Linked DNA regions of Oryzias latipes. The protein of the gene in region 2 interacts with the protein of the main gene of each other region in a pairwise test. Links are inferred from orthologs where the notes say so. Each region holds a gene or a part of one and is shown on either strand. Other genes may lie near its edges.

Region 1 (10,482 bases), on a different chromosome or scaffold from region 2:
CCTCACTTCCCGGTGACGCGCCTTACAACCTCCAACACAAAGAGGCGCTGACCCCGACCAGTACGTGTCGCCTGTGACCTCCGGCTGGGGAGTCCATTCTGTCTCACCTGCAGCAGAAGGTGCAGGTTATGCACTCCTTCAACCTGACAACCTGACCTGGAAAAAAATCCAACTGAGAAAAACCTTTTACGGGAAAAACTGGTTTGATCCAAGAGTGTCCACAATGACAAAACAAGATCATCGTAGAGGGAGGAGTTCTTACCGCTAACTTCCAGCTCTGCATTCCAGTCAGGCAACTGAGAAATTCCTCTCTGGACAAACATCAGCAGGAGCAGCAGGCTGAATATCATTTGCTGCCATGACTCTCTGCAGAAAATGTGCTTGTGCATTTGGGAGTTGGCAACAGAATAAGAGAGCACTAAGCTGTGTGTGCTGCCTAATCTGCGGCTAATCATGTGTACTGCATCCTGCTGGGACAGGGCGCCACTTTATAAAACGTTTTCTTATGGTTCAAATCACACAACCCAGCATCCAAAAAATGATATCTTAATTATTTAGCAAGAAATGTCAAATACATCCAGGAAAAAATGCATTATAATGTTTGAGCTCCAGTTCAAAGTTCAATACCGGTTTTAAGAAAACATACAGGTAAACTGTGACAGACTGGCGAACTGTCCGGCAGCCCCGTGACCCCAAAAGAGACAAAACAGCTTAAAAGATGAATGAATGAATGAATGAATGAATAAGGGCAAACTTTAGTTTGTACAAAAAAGAAACACTAAAGGAGCAGCTGAACACAATAAACTAACTCCTTTACAACAAGCTTTTTGTATACTAGTTATGAAATCAAAGATAAACACAGAGAAAAAAATCATCATAATTACCTTAATGTAAATTATCTACCATAATTCGGTTTTGCAGCATTTATACTTGGCCTTGCCAGGATTTCATTTTTCGTTTTTTGAATCCAAAAGCTTCTCGACTAACGCAAAATGAAAATATACCCATAGAAGCCCCCTTGGAATCCTAGAAAAGTCATTGCATTAAAGTGAAATCACTGATTGGCTGAGTCAATTTACCAATCAACAGGCGTCTGTTCTTTATAAAAATGTCATTTGTTTTCAGAGATGAATCCATGCATTCAGTCAGTCGTATGTATTTACTTACATTTTACTTATTTACATTTTTAAATCTACTTTTCTTAATCTGTGTGGTTGCGTGGAGAAGGATTTAGAGCCTGTTATAGATTAACTCAGGGGGTTTACACAGTGAAAAGTTGAGAGTCTGTCATATGTATTAATTGTAAACTATTTTATTTATACTGTAGAGGAAACATGATTACAATGCAATAAAATAGGATGTCTGGGGTTCAAATCCAGGGTCAGGTCATACCAAGGGGACTTTAAAAGAATTACCTCCCTGCTTGATGCTCAGGGTTAGAGCGTTGGTTGTGAGGGTTAAACCACCACAGCGTGGCTGTGACTGCCGCCTACTGCTTAGGGTCAAAGACAGAGTGAAAATTTGGGGTAAATAACTTTAAAGATTCTCCAACTTCAGCCATTAGACCAAATAAAACTTGATATGGGAAAATAAAAAGATGAAACTACTGAACACTGAATTTTGACGAGTACACCAGATCCACCAACACTCAACACATACAGTACAGACCAAAAGTTTGGACACACCTTCCCATTCATTTAAATGAGAAGGTGTGTCCAAACCTTTGGTCTGTACTGTACTTTAATGTGCGTACTGTTTGTCATTTAAGCATTTGTCGACAAATATGTTTTTTTATTTTTTATTCTGTAGTTTCTCTCCAAAAAAAAGAAAAAAGAAAATAACTCACACACTGAATACAAGAGTTTAACAACACTTGCCACTATACTCTAAATTAGTAAGCAAAATAATACAAAAAGTGTTCTTCCATAAATTCTCTATACAGTACAGCTTTACCAACGTCTGTTTGCATCAAGATTGTCCACCTACATCTGTTGCTGCTGTGTGGTGTCCTGGAGCTCCAGCAGAACAGAGCTTTCTCCCTCTGAGAGGACGTATAACACACCCTCTTCCTGCACACCTTCTTCTGCACCAACGTTCAGCTCCTCATTCCTCTTCTCCTCCAGCAGCACCCCTCTTAATTCAACCTGCACCTCTGAAGCTGCCATGGGTTCTTCCTCCAGCTCCTGATCTTCAGCGTGCTCGCTGCCAGTGTCCTCCTCTGTTTGCCGCTTTTGCCTTTCCCGCATCAGCTGCTCCGTCAGCTCCACGCTCTCATAGCGAATCAGCTGCAGTCGCATGAAACCATCCTCGTGCTCTTTGTACCTGAAACAACAGTGAAAAACACCCATAAACACCAAAAGCAGGCATATTATTTACATTGATGCAAGTTAGAAACAGACCTGAACCTGGGATGTCCAGAAGGCCATTTGAACTGGTGCTTCTTGTGCAGATGAACAGTGAGGCTATTGCCTCTAGTGAAGCACTGGCCGCACACGTGACATTTGTAACGAGCTGTAAAAGTCCCCTTCATGAGGAACAAACAGAGTTATTTAAATGCAAATTGAAGAGGATAAAAACATGTAACCACACAACCTCATGCTCTTTTTTGTAGTGGATCTTCATGGTGCCAAGATTACGGGAGGCGAAACTACAGCCGGGAAAGTCACAACGGAACGCCGGATCACTGCTGTGAGTGTCCAAGTGTTTGCGCAGGTCGATTAGGTTCTTACAGCTGCAATTGAAATAAAAATAAAAATTTCAACTGTACATCTAAAAGCCCTCTCTTCTCCTTCATGTAAACAGCCACATAGCAGGCGATACCTGTATTCACAGTAGTCGCAGCTGTATGGTTTCTCGTTACTGTGGCGGAACTTGATGTGGCTGCGGAGAGCCGACGGCGTTGGGCAGGTCATATCGCATAAGGGACACTTGTAGTGACTCACTGTTCCATAAATGAGAGACAAATCAAAACTACAATTAATATATGGATGCTTTTGAAGGCGATGGCTTGTCTGGTTTTAACAGCCTGATACATGTTTCCAATAGGATTTACGGTCCAAAACTGAATTCTTGCCTTGACCTTGTTTCAATTTAGATTCTTCTGGAAGGTGCTTAGAACCACGGATGTCAGGAACTATATAAACAGGCTATAGGGAGAAAGTAGAACTTCTGTGTTCAATTCATGGGACTGGCATCTGTTGTGGTGTTTGCCAACAGGGCCATCAGGAATTTTTGGATTTATGTAGATGCTCAAAAAGTGTGACTTTAGCTGTAAAAAAAGAAGCACCCTTTTCAGCTTTTTTTCCTGGCAACAGTGGATGCAGTTTCTTTCATTCTACAGAATGCAGCTGTGGAGCTTTTGATTTTTATTCGTGACAATTTATTGAGGACAGTAGTGAGAACAAAACTCAGCAGGTCAGTTTAAATGCTGTTCCACTTTTACTTTGGACAAGGATAAACACAAATGACAGTAAAGTGTAACAGAATTAATTTTTCTAAGAAATTTATGGTTTAAAGATTTTTGATTGACTAAATAAAAACTACCAGTGACGTCAGATAATGTGATTAAAAATAAAGAATTTCTGGGTACAAAATACATAAATGTATTGGAGAGAAACAATGATGTATGGTGAGAATCAAAGTGAACTCAATGTGTGAACAAATGATTCGCTTGATTATCAAACAGAAGCAAGTAAAGGTAATTTAATAATGTGTTACTTTTTATCTTTATTAAGTAAAATTCTGGTCAAATGTAAAAAGGTTTTAGGATCTAAATAGGTATAAATAGATGTTATAGTATATACTTTAGTGACTGAGCTCAAGTGTTGAAAAATGATCTTGTCTTAAGGACTCAGACTAACGGAAACTTACCGTGAGTCCTCATGTGGTCCCTCAGCAGTCGTTCTGTTGCAAACCGTTTAAAACAGTGAGAACACTGGAACCTCTGACCTGCGACAAAGCCACGCACAGAATGAAAGCAAGTTGGGATCATGCTGCCAACTACCCAGTTTCTAAATAGCTTAGCTCACCTTCCATGGCACTCTGTCGTATGATGTGGTCAAAGAATTTGGTGTTGTTTGCGTACATCCCTCCACAGCCTGGGCAGGCCACCAGCTTCTCCTGTGTGTGGCTGCGTAGGTGTTCTCGCAGCTTGGGACGCCCTTTTGCAGTGGCTTCACAATCTGAACAACAAGACTAACACTTAACCATTTCACATTCTAAATAGATCTATCTATCTATCTATCTATCTATCTATCTATCTATCTATCTATCTATCTATCCATCTATCTATCTATTGAAAAACTCCAGTTAAGCAAACAGGTTTACACTATGTTACAATATTCTTACCTTTCCATCTGCAGCGTATGGGGAACTCGCACTCCCCTTGTGGGATATCTATGGCCAGACCATGCATCTCCACGTGACGGTAGAACCACTCTGGGTTTTCATATGGCGGTTGCTTTGACCAATGCGGGTCACGGGAAATGGAAAAAAAAGCATTATAAAGCATTATAAAAAAAAAGGCATTGGATAATCGTAACTTATAGCCAACCAGATTTTTTTTTCCTTTATAAAAGGAGACTTTTGATGTTGCATTAAAAAAATTCCAACTGTTTAACCGATATTTCAAAGTGATAAGATGCTGGAAATTTACATTTCTGAGTAATTTTGTTCACTTGTGGCTCTGATTCATAAGCCCTGGTTTAGTCAATGTCCTCACTTAAAAATAAATAAAAAATAAGCCCTCACACAGTCAGCTGTTCATCTGCAATACAATAACCAGAAACGTTCTTTAAGCATGATCTTGCAGCATTTTTCTTATAATTGATGACATATAGCTCCAATATTGCTCACACTTTTTGTTGTATCTGTAATGTTAGGTTGGGGGGGGGGGGTATGAGGGGCTGCAGGATAGCAAGAGAGCATGTAAACAGAGATCTCTCAGCAACAGGGTAGGCAGATGTGGGTGGGTTGCCCACATCTCAGAGAGGTGAATTTCTAATGAACTACTGCTGCTCTGCTGAAACTATGTCCTTGAAAACGACAAAGGTTTTTGGCTAAAAACAGCAAAATCGTGACTGAAAGACCACTAGAAATGTTTGTAAAATAGATCAAAAGATGATTAAAGAGGGTCTTTAACAACATTAATGTCGACAAATAAAATGTTAAAGGGGAACAGTAGTCACCCTTACGGAAAATAATTGAAGAAAATTTTCCCCGGGTAGCTGATGAATTCTTTTTGCAGTCAATATATACATTGTATGTTATAAACCTGCCTTTATCGCATACTTAGAATGCATTGATGAGTTCCCTCCTAAAGGCTTTTAGGTCAAAAGTCCCAAACAACTGTCACTGAGGCTTCACTAACACTGGGAAGGGATAAAGGGAGCCCGTCTCAAGGTAACCCTTAACGTCCCTGCAGCTGGCTTTTATTCTTCTCCTGATGTCACCTTTGTCCTCTGTATCTGCTCCATTACAGATTATTTTATCTTCATTCCTTGGTTGGTCAGAACCAATGTAGTTCTCCAACCTCTACCAAAGGCTCAGAGAAACTGAAAACACTTCTAGCTCCATAGTACCAATCAGAGGTTGAAACGGCTTGATTACCATGACCTAAAAATGAATCAGCGCAGTGGGTCTTACATCACATTCCTCCCAGAGGCAGACAAAGTTGTCTGGAAGTTCGGGGATGATGTTGCGGTTGTGCTGAGCGATGGAGCAATTGCCAACTTCCGGCTGAGCATCGAGGACCTGCTGACCCATCTGCTTCAGCTTTGTGTGGTAACAGTGAAAGAAGACGTGCCTCCGCAGCTCTCCGGATCCCTCCACGGTGCAGAAGCCACAGTCTCTCCACAGACAGTTCCTCTCCTCTTCACAAGAGAAGCAAAAAGATGACATAAGTACCAAAACTCTCAATGTAAACAAGTACTCCATGTAGACTTAAACATACCGTCAGCATCTTCATCGATGCTCGGAGCGGTCAGATGAGCTTCTGCGTGTTCGCAGAACTTCTCAATTCGACTGAACGTCTCCTGACATGAGCCCCATTCACAGTCCAATTTAAGCGTTTTCTTTTTCACGCGTTTAACGAGTGGCATCCCTACAAGTCAGAGATGCACCAAATATCGCGAGGTTGCAACAAACGTCGTTAAAAAGATAAAAAGTGACACATTATTAAATTACCTTACCAGGTATATCTTCATAAAAGTGATTACAAACACAGTTTTGAGGATGACAGACGAGTTCTTTCAGTATCGGAACTCAGTGCGACACATTGGTCCGGAAGAAACAAAGTGTAAATGTATAGTTCCGCGTCACAACCGTGTTTATTTTCTTTTGACTTTTATCAAAACATCTAATTATTATTTAATTTATTTTAATTGGAGGTATAGGAGTAAAAACTAACTTACAAGTCTTAGTTTACTAAAGATATATATATATATATATATATATATATATATATATATAAAAATCAACAGGCACACAAGACTGATTTAGTTGGGAAACATCAGAGGCCTCACACTTACCTCTATAAAACTGTCAAATGCATTTCTCCGTTGCTTCAATAGTTAGAATTTCCTCATTATTCTTATATGTAAAGTCCACCAAAAGAAATAAAGCCAGACAGTGATCTGCATGATAAAAAAATGCGGACTCTCTCTCTCTCCCTCTTTAAAAATAAAAACGCCCCTCTCACCCTCCACGGGTGGTTTCTCCTCCAAGCTCGGGTCCTCCACCAGAGGCCTGGGAGCTCGAGGGTCCTGCAGTATCTTAGCTGTTCCTAGCACTGCGCTTTTCTGGACTGAGAGGTCTGAGGTCTTTCCAGGTATCTGTTGCAGCCACTCCTCCAGCTTGGGGGTTACTGCCCGGAGTGCTCCAATCACCACAGGCACCACTGTCACCTTCACTTTCCAGGCGTTCCCCAATTCTTCTCTGAGTCCCTGGTATTTCTCCAGTTTCTCATGTTCCTTCTTCCTGATGTTCCCATCGCTTGGCTCTGGCACATCCACCACAACAGCTTTCCTCTGTTCTTTATCCACCACTACAATGTCTGGTTGGTTCACCATTACCATCCTATCAGTCTGGATCTGGAAGTCCCACAGGATCTTTGCCCTCTCATTCTCAGGGCGTGGTCAGGGCTTGTTCCTGAGCTTCTTGGATGAGTGCTTCAGTGCTGTCCTGTAGGCCAGCCCTTTCTAGCCATTGATAGGACTTCTTGATATCAGCCACTTCAGTTATGATCCGGTGGTACATTCCATGCAGGGGTTTGCCCTCTCATGAGGATCTGTCCTCCAGCACTGCATCCTCTGCTCTCCATTGCCTGAGACATTCACTGAGCACACTGTCAGTTGGGGCCTTGAGCTTGATGTACTCATGCATCTTGGATGTTTCATCCTGGATAATGGCTTCTACGCTCACTAGTCCTCGGCCTCCTTCCTTGCGGCTAGCATACAGCCTCAGGGTGCTGGATTTGGGATGGAACCCTCCATGCATGGTGAGGAGCTCTCGTGTCTTAACATCCGTGGTCTGTATCTCTTTCTTTGTCCATCTTATTATTCCTGCAGGGTATCTGATAACTGGCAGTGCGTTTATTGCCTGGGTCTTATTCTTGCCATTGAGCTGGCTTCTCAGGACTTGCCTTACTCGTTGGAGGTATTTAGCTGTTGCAGTTTTCCTTGTTGCCTGCTCCAGGTTGCCATTTGCCTGTGGAATTCCAAGGTACTTGTAACTGTCCTCGATGTCTGCTATTGTTCCTTCTGGGAGTGAGACCCCTCCTGTGTGGACTACCTTGCCTCCCTTTGTCACCATCCGGCTACATTTCTCGAGCCCGAATGACATCCCAATGTCAGTACTGTAGATCCTGGTGGTGTGGATCAGCGAGTCAATGTCACGCTTGCTCTTAGCTTGTAGCATGTAAAGGAGGTGACTGATGTAGGACTCATTTCTGAGTCGGTATCCATAGCCAGTCTTGGTGATTATTTGGCTGAGAGGGTTCAAACCTATGCAGAACAGCAGTGGGGACAGAGCATCACCTTGGTATATCCCACATTTGATGGACACTTGTGCAAGTGGCTTCCCATTGGCATTGGATGCCACTTGGATGCATTGCATGTAAAATTATTGAAAAATGATAAGGAGAAACAATTGAAAAGCATGTTTTCAAATCAATAATTAAGGGTTTTATTCAGAACAGTTGCATTCATTTCACTTGTCTCAACACCCTTCACCCTAAAAAAGGTTTTACTAATCCCCACTCCGGATTTACCTGTGCCCACCTAGTAACACAAAAAGCTTATTGGCTTTTTTCTTACAGTGACCACTATTGTGATCTTTTGCGTCTGGAGAAGACTCTGTGAAAGCATGCTGCACATGTATGTTTGATTTTCTTTTCAGAAAACTTCTTTCTATAAATCATCACAATATTAGAGCAAATTCAGCCAAAGATTTTAGCTGGATTGAACAAAGTTGTCCCCACTTACTGAACTGTCCTTAAAAAGTATGAAAATATACTTTTCAGATGGATAGGCAAGTGCATTGTTTTTTACTGTAACTCAGTGCAAATCTTTATGTGAGACCCTTATATGTCTGGATGTACTACTGTCAACGGCAGAACAGCAACAGAGTCCAATCCAAAACAGATGAACCAGAAGCCCTCCAATAGTTTCACAACATATGAAGTTTTCTCAGTGTGCTTGCTTTTTGCCGTTTCTTTGTGAACCGTCTAGACATCATAGAAGAGTCGCACCAGATGATAACGTATCCCAAAAGCCACTGCGCTGCCCAACACCTGCAGAGGACACAGACAGGAGCAGGTCAAGTGACTTTCATCAAAGATCTTGCAGAACATGAGCAGCAGGTCACCTCCATACCTGTATGATGAGCATGATGACTGTGAGGTTTCTCTCATGGACGGGTCCCAGGATCTTTATCACTAGATTTATTAAAGTCATGTTGTTGCACTCAATAAAATCATCTCCCTCCTGCCCCCGTCGCACCTCCAGCAGCTTTAATAACTCTGCTACCTAATGGGAATCAATGCTATTATTTTCAGAAAAGCCAAAACATCTACAGACCATGAGCATAAATATCCCAACTTTTACTTTATTAAAGTCACACTTTTGATAATGTAAGGAAACAACATGTCAGTGAGTCTAAAATCAGGTCAGAAACCGATCTGTGATACCAAACATGTTCTCCTTAAAACTGTTTTTATTGCATCCGATTTTCATTTCCTGAGAGTGTTTTGGTGCTGTGTTTCAAACATGTAACTGAATAATCCCACTGCTTTTTGACACCACACACAAACATAGCAGGTGAAGTAGAGCAGAAACAATTCACCTCCTGTCCACAGCAATAACTGAGCAACACTCATAAGGATTTTCTGGGCAACAGCTCAGACACCTGCTCTCTGTACCTTCCACAACCCAAATATAGGAGTATCAAGACAGGAACAAGCAGAAAGAAGACTCACCTTTAAAATTAGGTTTCCCAGCTTGGAGAGATCTTTCTGTTTAAATTTTGAATAGCTCATTCCCAGTTTTCCTGTTTCTGGATTCAGTCTTTCAGAAATAGGAACAAAGAAGTACTTATCAAAAAAAGAAAACGAATAATTTAACATGTAAAGGAACATGAAAGAGTAAAACTAACCTGGGGAGCCGATGTCTGGGGCAAGGGATAATATGAAAAAGCTGAGGCAAGGAATAGACAAAGTTGATCACTTGAGGGATGAAGAAGAGGAGCATCGTCTTGCTGAAGTGTCCCAGGATACCGACAACAGCGAAGGTCATCCCGGCAAAGTAGCAGAAAGTGTCTCCCACAAACACGGATGAGGGGTACCTGTCAAAATGAAGCGAAAGTCGACAAATTAACTCAGGAGCCGTTGATATCCATCTGGACCTCCAAACACAGAAATCTGATTTGGTAAAACGGCTTCGGTACGACTCACCAGTTGTGGTACAAAAGGGCTAAGGTAGTGAAGAAAAACGGTATCATGAAGTACAGGGAGAAAACATGGTCGTCGCGATAATCACCTGATAAAGAAAACCCAAAATATATGGTTTATGTTTGGAGAATTAAAAAAAAGAAACTATGGTTATTTATTTTAATTTTCTGATTTTGATATTTATTTTATACATTTTAACAGATTATATGTACAGTGGTTGATTTTAACTTTCTTCTTTTATGAGAAGTGGAAATGTATAAATAAATTATACTTGATAATGTAAGATATTTAAAAACAAAACAAGCAAATGAGGATTACAGTTTAATTATAATTTCCACAGGAGAAAAGCATCCCCCTACCACTGAGCTCTAGCAGATTGAAGATGATGATGGAGCCAGAGATAAACAGAGCTTGACCAGACTCAATACCGTTGATGCCTGCTAAGATGTTGATGGCATTTGTGCAGAAAACTGCAAGCATTCCCATGTAGACATAGTAGAGGATCCCTGCAGAATATGAGAAAAACCTAAATGTTATGA
Region 2 (10,333 bases):
GATGACAGTGGAGAATTTCTCCATCTCTCTCATTGTGCCTAATTATCTCCATCTCTCTTTTTTTTTCTTATAAAAAACCACAACCAGAACACATGACACATTTGAGTGACTCAAACATGAAGTTCCTTTGTGACACACGTCAGGGGAGAAATTGCACTTTACTTTTGGTAAGCCTCAACAGATGGGTGAAAAATCTCAAAAGGAGGGAGGGAACCACAAGGACCTCATGAAATGGAACATAACACCACCCACTGGCAGGCAAAAGTACAGATTCATTAAGGGGGCGGGGGGTGGGGGCACTGGGCTAGAGAGCACCCTCATTACATGCTTCAAGGTATCTTTGAAAGATAAGAGTTACTGTTTTCATGCCTGAATGTGGTGAAAAAGGGAAGAAAACCAGTATCAGTGGGAGAATTGCAAAGAGTTTCATGAAACAGAACCTGGATCTAGATTTTCCTCAGAGGTCAGAAGCAGTAGAGAATCTAGACATCAGTTGAAAATACTCAAAGGTGAAAGTGAAAGCCCTGATGGATTACAAATGTTCAGATGAGTGTGCTCACATGCGTGCTCTTACCAGATAAAGAAGAAATGTGTGCAAACCAGTTCCTAGACCGACTGAGGAGAGAATTCCAAGGCCTACCCAGTAGACACACCAGAGGAACTTCTTCTCCAAGTACTGAACATACTGGAAGAGGGATGAAAGAATGAACGCATGAGACAAGCCAGAGAACCAAGAATGAGCACAATAAATAGTAGCTGCATATATTTTAATTTGAATATATTTTATGCAATTTTTTAATAGATAATATACAACTTTATACACACAAAATGTGAGGAAATCTCAAACTTGAAACGTTTCCTTTCATCTGGTGATGGGTAATATGTGTTGTTAACGCCCTTTTTCACCTTTATTTAAGGGAGTAACCTTTGACACTGGCACAGTCACATCTACATCCCAGTTTGGATTTCCTCTGTGATTTAAAAATAAAATCTACAACAGGGCCGCAGACTCCTGATCCTTGAGATTTACCGCTTTGGCTGTTCCCTCACTTCTCCACAACACCTAAACGATTATATAATGCAGAACCATCTGGATTTTAACGCTCACTGCTTTTTAAACTTTTTTTTTTTAATGTCACATATGGCATCACCAATTTCCCAAAATAAAAACCTTATAAATATGAACATTTTATGACTATCTATGAATCCACTGTGTACTGCTGATGAAAATTTGGATAATTTATAAGAAACACATTTATAAACATGTTTTTCAGATGCCCAATGGTCAAACCCAATGCATTGTAGTCTATATTCGCTGTTCCAGTGAGCGTTGGTGCGCGCTGGTTCTTCACAGAAACGTTCGGGAAATTTCCACTGGGTTTTGGAATTGTAGATTTGGGCATCCCGATAAAATGGGGTACGTCCTTTATGGTGCACTAGGTAGTGAGGGAATTCCGACACAACCATTGTCTGTTTTCCAGATCTCCAGGCCCTGCTTGCTGGTGATTTGATCAATCAGGTGCCTCCTCATGTTGAGTGAATGAACACAGCTGAGTCAGGTGACCAGCAGCACGCAGGGCAGGGAGAAATGGGGAAAAAAAAGCAGGGTGCTAGATCGCAAGGACCATGAATGAGCAGGCCTCGTCTAGAAAATGAAGCTTTAAGAACATAAATCACTCTAGATGTTAGAAATATAAATGCAAAAATGTGTTGTGGTCTTCAGAACATAAAAAGGGACAGAGGGAAAAAAATGTATTACTATCAAAATGCAAAGTTTGTCTGAAAAGGTTTTTCGTCTTCATGTTGGGTGGCTGGAAAATTCCAAGCCTAAAAGTCAGTTTATATTTTTGCAACATTATTCAAATCACACAAAGTACAACCCTAAAAATTGAGAATATTAGTAAAAGACTTCATAAATATTTTTGTACTGTTCATGTCAAACTTATGTTGTTGCAGGTTTGTATTCTGTAAATTGAAGTTGGTGTAGAGAAAAGCATGGGGGTGCTCTAACCGAGCTGTGACCGTTTGCTGCAAAGACGTTTCTGTAAACTGAACTTTCAGCCAGCCGACAGTCAGATCAAGGGTTACATGACAACAGTGCAGGCTGCTCCATATCTGAGCACAAATGCTCTGCATCACAGATTTTCAGCGATAAAATCTGGTTTATCATTAACCTTCAATCTGTCATGGATGAGTAAACAGGGTCTAATCGTTACATTTAAAAGACAAATAAGTAAAGCCTTACATGTTGGTGTGTTCCCTCGGAGGAATACGCAATATAGAAGACAGTACATAAGACCAGGAGTAAGAACACTATGCCTCTCCGCTGCCAAAGCCTGTGTGTGAAAAAGGAAAAAAGATTGATGTATTCCATTGGTGATGAAAAAAGGGAAACTTTCATTCATTAAAATGTCATTAAAGAATGTTAAAAAGACAAATCTACTGTAAAAGTAAGCCTCTATTATTTTCATCATCTAAAGCTATTCAAAAACAACCCACATAATAAAGAAATCGTGTTAAAATATCCCAAAAATTAAGAAAAGACAAGCCAGACAAAAAGTCATCACTAGGTTTTTGCTTTTTTTTTTTTAAATCCTTAACTGTGTAAAACTGATCCATTTCTTACTTAAAAGTCAACTCCTTTAGTTTAATGAGTGTCTCCAGAACAAAGTAGTGCAGAGTGATTACTGGTCTTCTCCACAACACCAGGGAAAGACGCTCCTCTTTGTCCTTCTGCCGCCTCTCTCTTACCGACAGTTCTGTCAAACAAAGACAACAGTTCATTGGAGATTTTGCATTCCCAACTGGTTCAGCGGGTTTCACATCCTCAGTAACCACCAATTCTAAATGCATAGTGCATGGAACTCGCAAGTCCTGCTCCTAAACTGAGGCACGTTTTCCTCATCAATAAATAACAGAAACCCAAACTCAACCATTTGTGACGTGTCATTCACTGATGGGAATGTTCATAGAGGACAATTTAGTCAACATTTATGCGTTAAAAGAAGAATTACAGAGCAGAGGAGGGTTCATATTTTTTACAAGTACTTCAAAGTTTTCCAGCTCACCTGCAGACTTGCCATTGAGTTTATCTTTAGTCCCGGTCCGTCTCTGAGGCTGTTCACAGTTCGCTCCATTAGCTGCCATGTCAATCACCGGCAAGCAGGTCACGTCCTGGACAAAAAGAAAAGAGGGTGACAAGTTTTTATTTCGGCTTCAAACGAGTCCCACAGTACCACCAACTGTACGCAGTAAACCGAAGAAGTTCTCCGTCTATAAATTATCCTGTAAGAAGATACGGAGCTAAATGCCTGGTCATCATAAACCTCCACACGCTAACCGGTTAGCTAACATGTTACAGCTGAGCTACAGACACCGGCGTTTTTAGTACCAAAATAAACGAGCTTTTAGTCAAGTTTAAGATACCTATCCGAAAGCTACAAGCTGTTTATTAACATATATTTTTATCCTAATATTATAAAACAAAAACAAAAGCTAACTAAGATAATAAAAATTATGCGGTTAGTTAAAATATCCTTGTCGTACCTCTTTCCTGTCTTCTTCACCCGGAACTTAATTCAGCACGTGTCAAAAGAAAACAGGTTCCTGTTCAACTCACAAAAGACTTAGGGAGATAACGTTATCAAGTCAGTGTGAGGCTATCAATCGTCTCAAAATATCTGACCAATCATCGGTGACTTAGTTTTGTTTTATTTTGCACAAATAAAATAAAAATTTTAGCCTACACCAAATGAGGTGAATTTTGTTTTGAAAGGAGAGTTATGAGACGTATTTCCGTAGATTGATGTTCGGAGGTCCAATCCGAGGTCGCCAGGTTCGAGAACAAAATGTTACAAGTTTGACCTAATAATAATGACAAGGCAAAAACAATGTATACATTTAGTGTGGAAAAACAACTGTTCAGTGTTTGTTAGGCAACTTGTTCCCAACCAATATTTAATCAACAAGCTATTTAAGTTCATTTTTATTACTTAACAGGCGGCACAACTGAACCATGAAATGATTAGTACAAAATGATCGTTATTCATCTGCAAACAAAAAAAAGCTAAATGATTTCTTATCCCAGGAATTATCTTATTTTTACTCTGCGTATCTTTAGAGCAAGGAGGTATTTTGATTGTCTGTTTCTACAGTGCAGTGTAATAAACAAATGACCTTTCTTCCACAATATTTACCCCCCCCCCCCCCCCAACAGTCAAAATCAGAACTGAAAACATACCAGTGTCTTTTTAGTCTACTCTCCTCTCAAGTCTCCTTCCAGCTTCCTTCATTTCACCCTAGAGGTCGCCCTCCTCATCCATATGTCTCACCTCTACATCCACAAACCTCTTTAGTCTCCATTCCAACTTCAAGGGCTGAGAAAAGACAAAATCCCTACAAGAGAAAATGTTTGCTGCGGTCATACTGTTGCATATAGTATTACAAATAAAAAAATAAAATCGCATTTAAGGTATTTTTATTTCACAAGCCAAAAATAAAAACACATAACAGGATAGGAAGAAAAAGAAAAACTACAAAGCTATTCACATTCCTTAAATAATTAAACCTTTTTCAAATACACTCAAGAACTTTTGACCAGACTTTTTTAAATTAATGCAAGAAAGATTTGCCAAAAAGTATGACAAACCATCCTGTTAGTCAAATATTGACCAGTGAAATGTTATGCGTCATCTGTTAAAGATGTTCATTCTTTACGTCAGTCCCCCAAAAAATGGATATGATGGAACACTGACAAAATAGACTAAAACACAAGCCACAGCTACTGCTGCATACATCGTAAAGAAAAAATACAATTCGACACACACTAAGCTTTTATTATTTATACTTTTGATTTATTTTAGTGCCAATTCCCCATGTTTTCAAAAAAGTGGAACAATATTCAACTCCCATCTTAAGATCCTGTATTGGTGAGGAATGATGGACTAGCACAGAAGATGAATTGTTGTTAGATCTGGACTTTGCAGTGGCTACATGCTTTAGAAAAAACACATTGATGGAATAGTTTAATGGTGTATTTAGACAGTTAGCTGGTCTGACATCATTAACACGGTAAAACAGTCATCTTGGCCGTGGCAGAACGAGTCATTTGGAGTCAGGAACCATAGATTGCAGAACCGCGGACACAGGCTGGACTATGGTTTTTGTGTCTTCCTGAATTCTAACTTAAAAAGTGTTGTGGTTTTGTAGGTTTCTGGTGTCCCGCCGGATTGTTCCATTTTATTCATCATAGTGAAGAGAAGACAAAAACTTATCCACATCCAAATCATGGGGAAAGCAATCCATCAGTTTTTTCCTTTCCTGTAGAAACGCACAAAACAAAGCGGTGTTAGTTGGCAGAAACATTAACAAGCATTCACTTTGATAAAATAAAAATCTATTAGCATAAAATGACTAATCATACACCGTTTTCTTTTGAAATATTAGCATTTATGTAGTTAATGCTCAGGATCTCTTGTAAATTAGAAAAAAAAAAATCAAAATGTTTCTTAGTGACGAGTTTTTCCAGACCTAAACCCAGGAGTTTAAGAGAAGCAAGATACAGCAAGAAAGAAAGACAAAACACCCTCAATGTGACTCAATCTGACTGGCTTTATGCTGCTTCACGGTTCTACCCCACTCTTCTTTAAACCCCCCCCCCCCTTGTCATCCCTCTCTCTCTTCTTCCCTTCTTTTCTTTTCCGTCAGGTCCAACAAAAGACTGTTACAGATACAAGTAAGTTGAATAAAGTTTAGCCTAAATTACAAAAGAGGTTTATTCCTAGTGTGTCAGAAGATTTATAACCCCTATTATAACAGTAAAATATGTCCAACACAATAAACTTTCAGCTCTCATCTGTCTGCTCAGCTGTTGGACAGGACAAGTTAGAAAGGAAAAAAAAAAAGTTAGATCAAATAAGTCTAACCCCACCCCCAAAAGACTATTTAGTGTAGGACCCTGGATTTTAATGAAATTCAAACACATTTGATATCAATACATTTTGTTTTAAACACCAAATATGAATTAAACAGCTAATAAATCTGGACATGTTATCCATCCATCCACCCATCTTCTCCGCTTATCCGGGACCGGGTCGCGGGGGCAGCAGTCTAAGCAGAGATGCTTAGACTTCCCTCGCCCCAGCCACTTCCTCCAATTCCTCTGGGGGTACCTCGAGGCGTTCCCAGGCCAGCCTAGAGACGTAGTCTCTCCAGCGTGTCCTGGGTCTTCCCCGGGGCCTCCGCCCAGTGGGACATGCCCGGAACACCTCTCCAGGGAGGCATCCAGGAGGCATCCAGACTAGATGCCCGAGCCACCTCAACCGACTCCTTTCGATGTGGAGGAAAAGCGGTTCTACTCCGAGCTCTCTGCGGGTGACCGAGCTTCTCACCCCATCTCTGAGGGAGCGCCCAGCCACCCTACGGAGGAAGCTCATTTCAGCCGCTTGTATTCGGGACCTCGTTCTTTCGGTCATGACCCATAGCTCATGACCATAGTGTAAGTATTGGAATGAAGATCGACCGGTAAATTGAGAGCTTTGCTTTTCGGCTCAGCTCTCTCTTCACCACAACGGACCGATGCAGCGACCGCATAACTACGGACGCCGCTGCGATCCGCCTGTCAATCTCACGCTCCGCTCTTCCCTCACTCGTGAACAATACCTCCAGATATTTAAACTCCTCCACCTGGGGCAGGGACACTCCTCCCACCGAGAGATGGCAAGCTACCCTGGACATGTTATTACAAAGACATTTTATGACTATGTTCTGATGAGGAAAATTGTTTAAACACAATGCATTGTGGTCAATATTTGCCAATCTAGTGAGCATTGATGCACACGGTTTGTGTTTACAGAGACTTCTGGGAAATTACCAGGGCACTAAGACTTTGGAATTGTATATTGAGACAAAATAACGGACATACTAAAAAAGTGCACATGCTGACGAGTAGTGAGGGAATTTGGACCAAACCAAAAAACGATCTACTTTCAGCAGAAAAAGAGGTATTTAGAACAGAATATATTCAAAATACCTTCTCCTTGATGTAGATGCCAGTTAACCCTTATGCTATCTTAGATGAACCCACCCTTACATTGACGTGTTCTCCCTACCATGACAAAGGTGGATAAAGGTGGAAAGATTTCATGAAATTCATGGACACCAGGGAAGATCACAAATCATTGAAGGAAAAAGGTTCAGAGCACTGTCTAGTGGGTCTAGATGACCCAACTCCCAATGTTATAGTGCCTAGGATAGCACAAGGGTTACAGGGACAACTAGCACCTTCCACTCAAGTCTACATTTTTCAGCTCCTTTTTGGATCTTTCCTTTTTCCTTTTTAAAATGTGCTTGTTTGTTGCTTTCAAATACCATAGAAATATTTGGCAGCAAATTCTAAAATTGTCTACCAAGTTTAGACCAAACTCCATCCATCCATCCATCCCCAGAACAAGCTGAATCCCTTTTGGAGTCATGGTGATGGAGCCATCTCAGGTCGCCAGTCTGTCACAGGGCCACACAATCACTAAAGGCCAATTTAACTTACAAAGCCTGTTTTTGGACTGTGGAAGGCAGCCGGAGTTCCCGGAGAAAGCCTGTGCATGCACGGGGAGAACATGCAACCTCCACACAAGAACCCATCCAGGATTTGAACAGGGGCTTTCTCGCTGAGACCAGAGCGCTTACCACTACACCACCGTACAGCCCTACAGCAAACTCCCAAAACTATTAAGCGTAGATGATTCTAACAGTCCTCCTTTTAGATGTTTGGTGGCTGAATGCAGAAAACTAGAGTAACATACTCACCCTGTCTTTCTTTTTACTGGGAGATTGTTTCAGCTCTCTCTTTGAAGAGGGCGTTTCTGTTGGTGAAGGTGCTTTGCGTTTCTTATTCTTTGAACTTCCAGGTGATTTCTGTCCAGCCTCGTCCTGGCGCAGGCTGTCCTTCAGTGGGGTGCCGGTTCTGGCGATGGCAGCCCGGGACAGAATCATGAGCGTGTGTGCTGCCATGTTGATGCTGTTCTCACTGCCGGCTTCGCTGGCAGGGCTGCAGGTCGGAACATCAGGGGTTCTAGGAGTTAACTGATGCTTGGGGGTCCCTTCGATATCTTTACCCTTTTTAGGGTGGGAGGGTGTCCTGGGGCAGTCGGCAGGTACCTCATGGCTATGGACACTCGCATAAAGACCAGGGGTGGAACTGACCGTTCCAGATTTCTTACTCGGAGTGGACAAGCTCCTCTGTCCTTGAAAGTCTTGCAGCATCTCAGCTGCCTGCTTGGCCAAAGAGCTGGTCTTTGATGGAGTCTTTGCAACCTTGGGTTGCGGGTTTGGTGTCTGCGGTGAGGCGGCTGGAGGGCTGAAGTCTCTGGACTCTGAGGAAGTAGACGTCGTCGCCTGTTGCTGCTTCTGTTCTTGCATTTCGTTTTCCTTGTTGGCCGTGACATGTGGCATCTCTTGTGACGGAGTCCTTTTCTCTGCTCGGCCCTCACGGGATTTCCCGGCTGCCTCTTTCCTTCCGTCTTCTCTGTCCTTTCTACTTTCCGATCCATCGGATGATGTTGACCTCGAACTCCGAGCGGTTTCTGCTTTTGTTTCTTCTGCAGATGCAACATTCTTATCACTAGGTTGTGACAGTTCTCCTAATTCTGACTTTTTCGAAGCCTCAGTTTGCAAAACACTTGAAGAACTTGAACTTTGAAACTCTTTGTTCTGAATGCCAACTTTCTGGCTGTTAGAAGTGTTTTTTGAAGACTCTTTCTGTGGTTTTTGAACAGGAACTGTAGCATTTAATGAGTCCACTCCAGTTTGAGAACCTCCTGAACATCGGACAGGCTCTATTCTCCTTTTGGGTTTATTGCCACCCAAAATATTGGGTTTCGTTCTGGTGACTGGATGTCTTTTGTCCTTATCGGCTGATGGAATAGATTTAGATCCAGACGGATTTGGAGCCATGGACTTGATGGTTTCAGTAGTTTTAGAATTGCATGGTGGAGTTTCCGAAGAAGAAGAAGATTCAAAACACAATATTCGTTTGTGACTTGGACCCGTTGCTGCATCAAACAGGTTTGTGGTTTTAAGCTGAACTTCCCTGCTTTTATCTGACATGCCTGTAATCCAAATAAACACAATTATTGAAATTCAGATCCATCTTCACAACAAAACATAACCTAAATAGAGTTAAGGTCTCCATCAGAAAAAGAGGAAACACAACAGAAAGATTGACTAACCGGAATTTGGAGCCTGTTTGGCTGCCAGCGTCACGGGCTTCAGTGTTTCCATTGACTGAACCGGGATGGGGTTTGGTACGTCAACAAGCTGCAAGTATACAAACGCATTTTGACCGACTCGTGCAGCTATGGGGAGAGCAGACGTTATTCTTTCTAACAAAAACAGAGAATCTCCTTTACCTGATTGGACACCAGCTGCACATTTCCCAAGGGGTTCTGGCCCACCACAGAAACAGGAAGAACCACAGGGTTTACAGCGGAGGGCAAGATGATTGTAGACCCTGCAAATGGAAAATCCAAGACACAGTCAAGGACAACAGCAAACGTGGAAAAAATGATACCTTCCTTTGAGTGTTTTGTCTCTCACCTGTGGAGAAGCTTTCGGTAAGTCCTGGTGTGGTTAGCCCAAACGGACTGGCTGTCAGAGGCTGTCCTAAGACATCGGAAGGAAGCTGCACCTGTTTCGCTTGAACATCTGCTGTTGGAGTCACAAGGAAATAGCTGGCAGGAGACTCCTGGATGGCAGGTTTAGCTGCATCCACGGGCAACTGAATTATATATCTTTGCTGGGGATGCGACGTTCTACCAAATGGAGACGTGGATATCGCTCCAGCTCGACACCTGGCTGGACTGCCAAATGCTTCAGAGCTTTGCAAGCCACGGACCGCCTGTGCTGCCTCATCAAAGTTGGCCTTTGGAGTACCAGGTCCTCCGGGTGACTTGGCTGGAGACGAAAGGTAGATAGTGGGAATCTTGTCCACCGAGATTCCTGAAATGGCTCGATTTAAGGTGGTATCTTTGGAAGTATCCTCATCTTTGTTATCGCTTATGATGATCTTTAAGGACACTACATTGCTAGAATCTCCTGTGGCTTTGATAGGGGTTGTAGGGTTGGTGGCTGAATAACTCCCTACAACAGAGGGAGGTGAGGACAGAGTGCTGGATTGGGGTGCAGGGGTTACAGATGTTAGGGCAGGTGTAGCTGCTCCAAGCACAGGGATGGAAACTAAAGAGGCGGAGGCACTTGTAGCAGTAGAGCTGGTAGAGAAAGACATTACTGAGACCGTAGATTCTGGCAAAGCTTCACCTCCAATGCCTAAAACTGACAC

What was found. The genes of interacting proteins can lie anywhere in the genome.
Region 1: the proteins of protein NPAT (region 2) and hinfp interact in a two-hybrid assay, tested with the Homo sapiens proteins (2 studies listed by BioGRID). The link is inferred for Oryzias latipes from reciprocal best matches to the Homo sapiens genes NPAT and HINFP.

Annotation. Positions count from the first base shown.
Region 1 is NC_019872.2:15,191,026-15,201,507, forward strand, and holds hinfp (histone H4 transcription factor), read right to left. Parts: upstream 6,302-10,482; 5' UTR 6,189-6,301; exon of another isoform or gene 6,101-6,188; 5' UTR 6,099-6,100; coding exon 5,951-6,098; intron 5,871-5,950; coding exon 5,644-5,870; intron 4,460-5,643; coding exon 4,348-4,459; intron 4,182-4,347; coding exon 4,029-4,181; intron 3,949-4,028; coding exon 3,871-3,948; intron 2,942-3,870; coding exon 2,821-2,941; intron 2,732-2,820; coding exon 2,593-2,731; intron 2,525-2,592; coding exon 2,400-2,524; intron 2,323-2,399; coding exon 1,983-2,322; 3' UTR 1,783-1,982; downstream 1-1,782. Other genes in the region: CUB and sushi domain-containing protein 1-like, read right to left, coding at 1-107, 263-455; dpagt1 (UDP-N-acetylglucosamine--dolichyl-phosphate N-acetylglucosaminephosphotransferase), read right to left, coding at 8,723-8,788, 8,871-9,023, 9,473-9,560, 9,649-9,837, 9,947-10,031, 10,303-10,449. UniProt on the Homo sapiens protein: Transcriptional repressor that binds to the consensus sequence 5'-CGGACGTT-3' and to the RB1 promoter. Transcriptional activator that promotes histone H4 gene transcription at the G1/S phase transition in conjunction with NPAT.
Region 2 is NC_019871.2:24,855,428-24,865,760, forward strand, and holds the end of protein NPAT, read right to left. Parts: coding exon 9,592-10,333; intron 9,506-9,591; coding exon 9,405-9,505; intron 9,313-9,404; coding exon 9,225-9,312; intron 9,105-9,224; coding exon 7,804-9,104; intron 5,320-7,803; coding exon 5,239-5,319; 3' UTR 4,815-5,238; downstream 1-4,814. Other genes in the region: vmp1 (vacuole membrane protein 1), read right to left, coding at 575-685, 2,246-2,336, 2,627-2,759, 3,069-3,147. UniProt on the Homo sapiens protein: Required for progression through the G1 and S phases of the cell cycle and for S phase entry. Activates transcription of the histone H2A, histone H2B, histone H3 and histone H4 genes in conjunction with MIZF.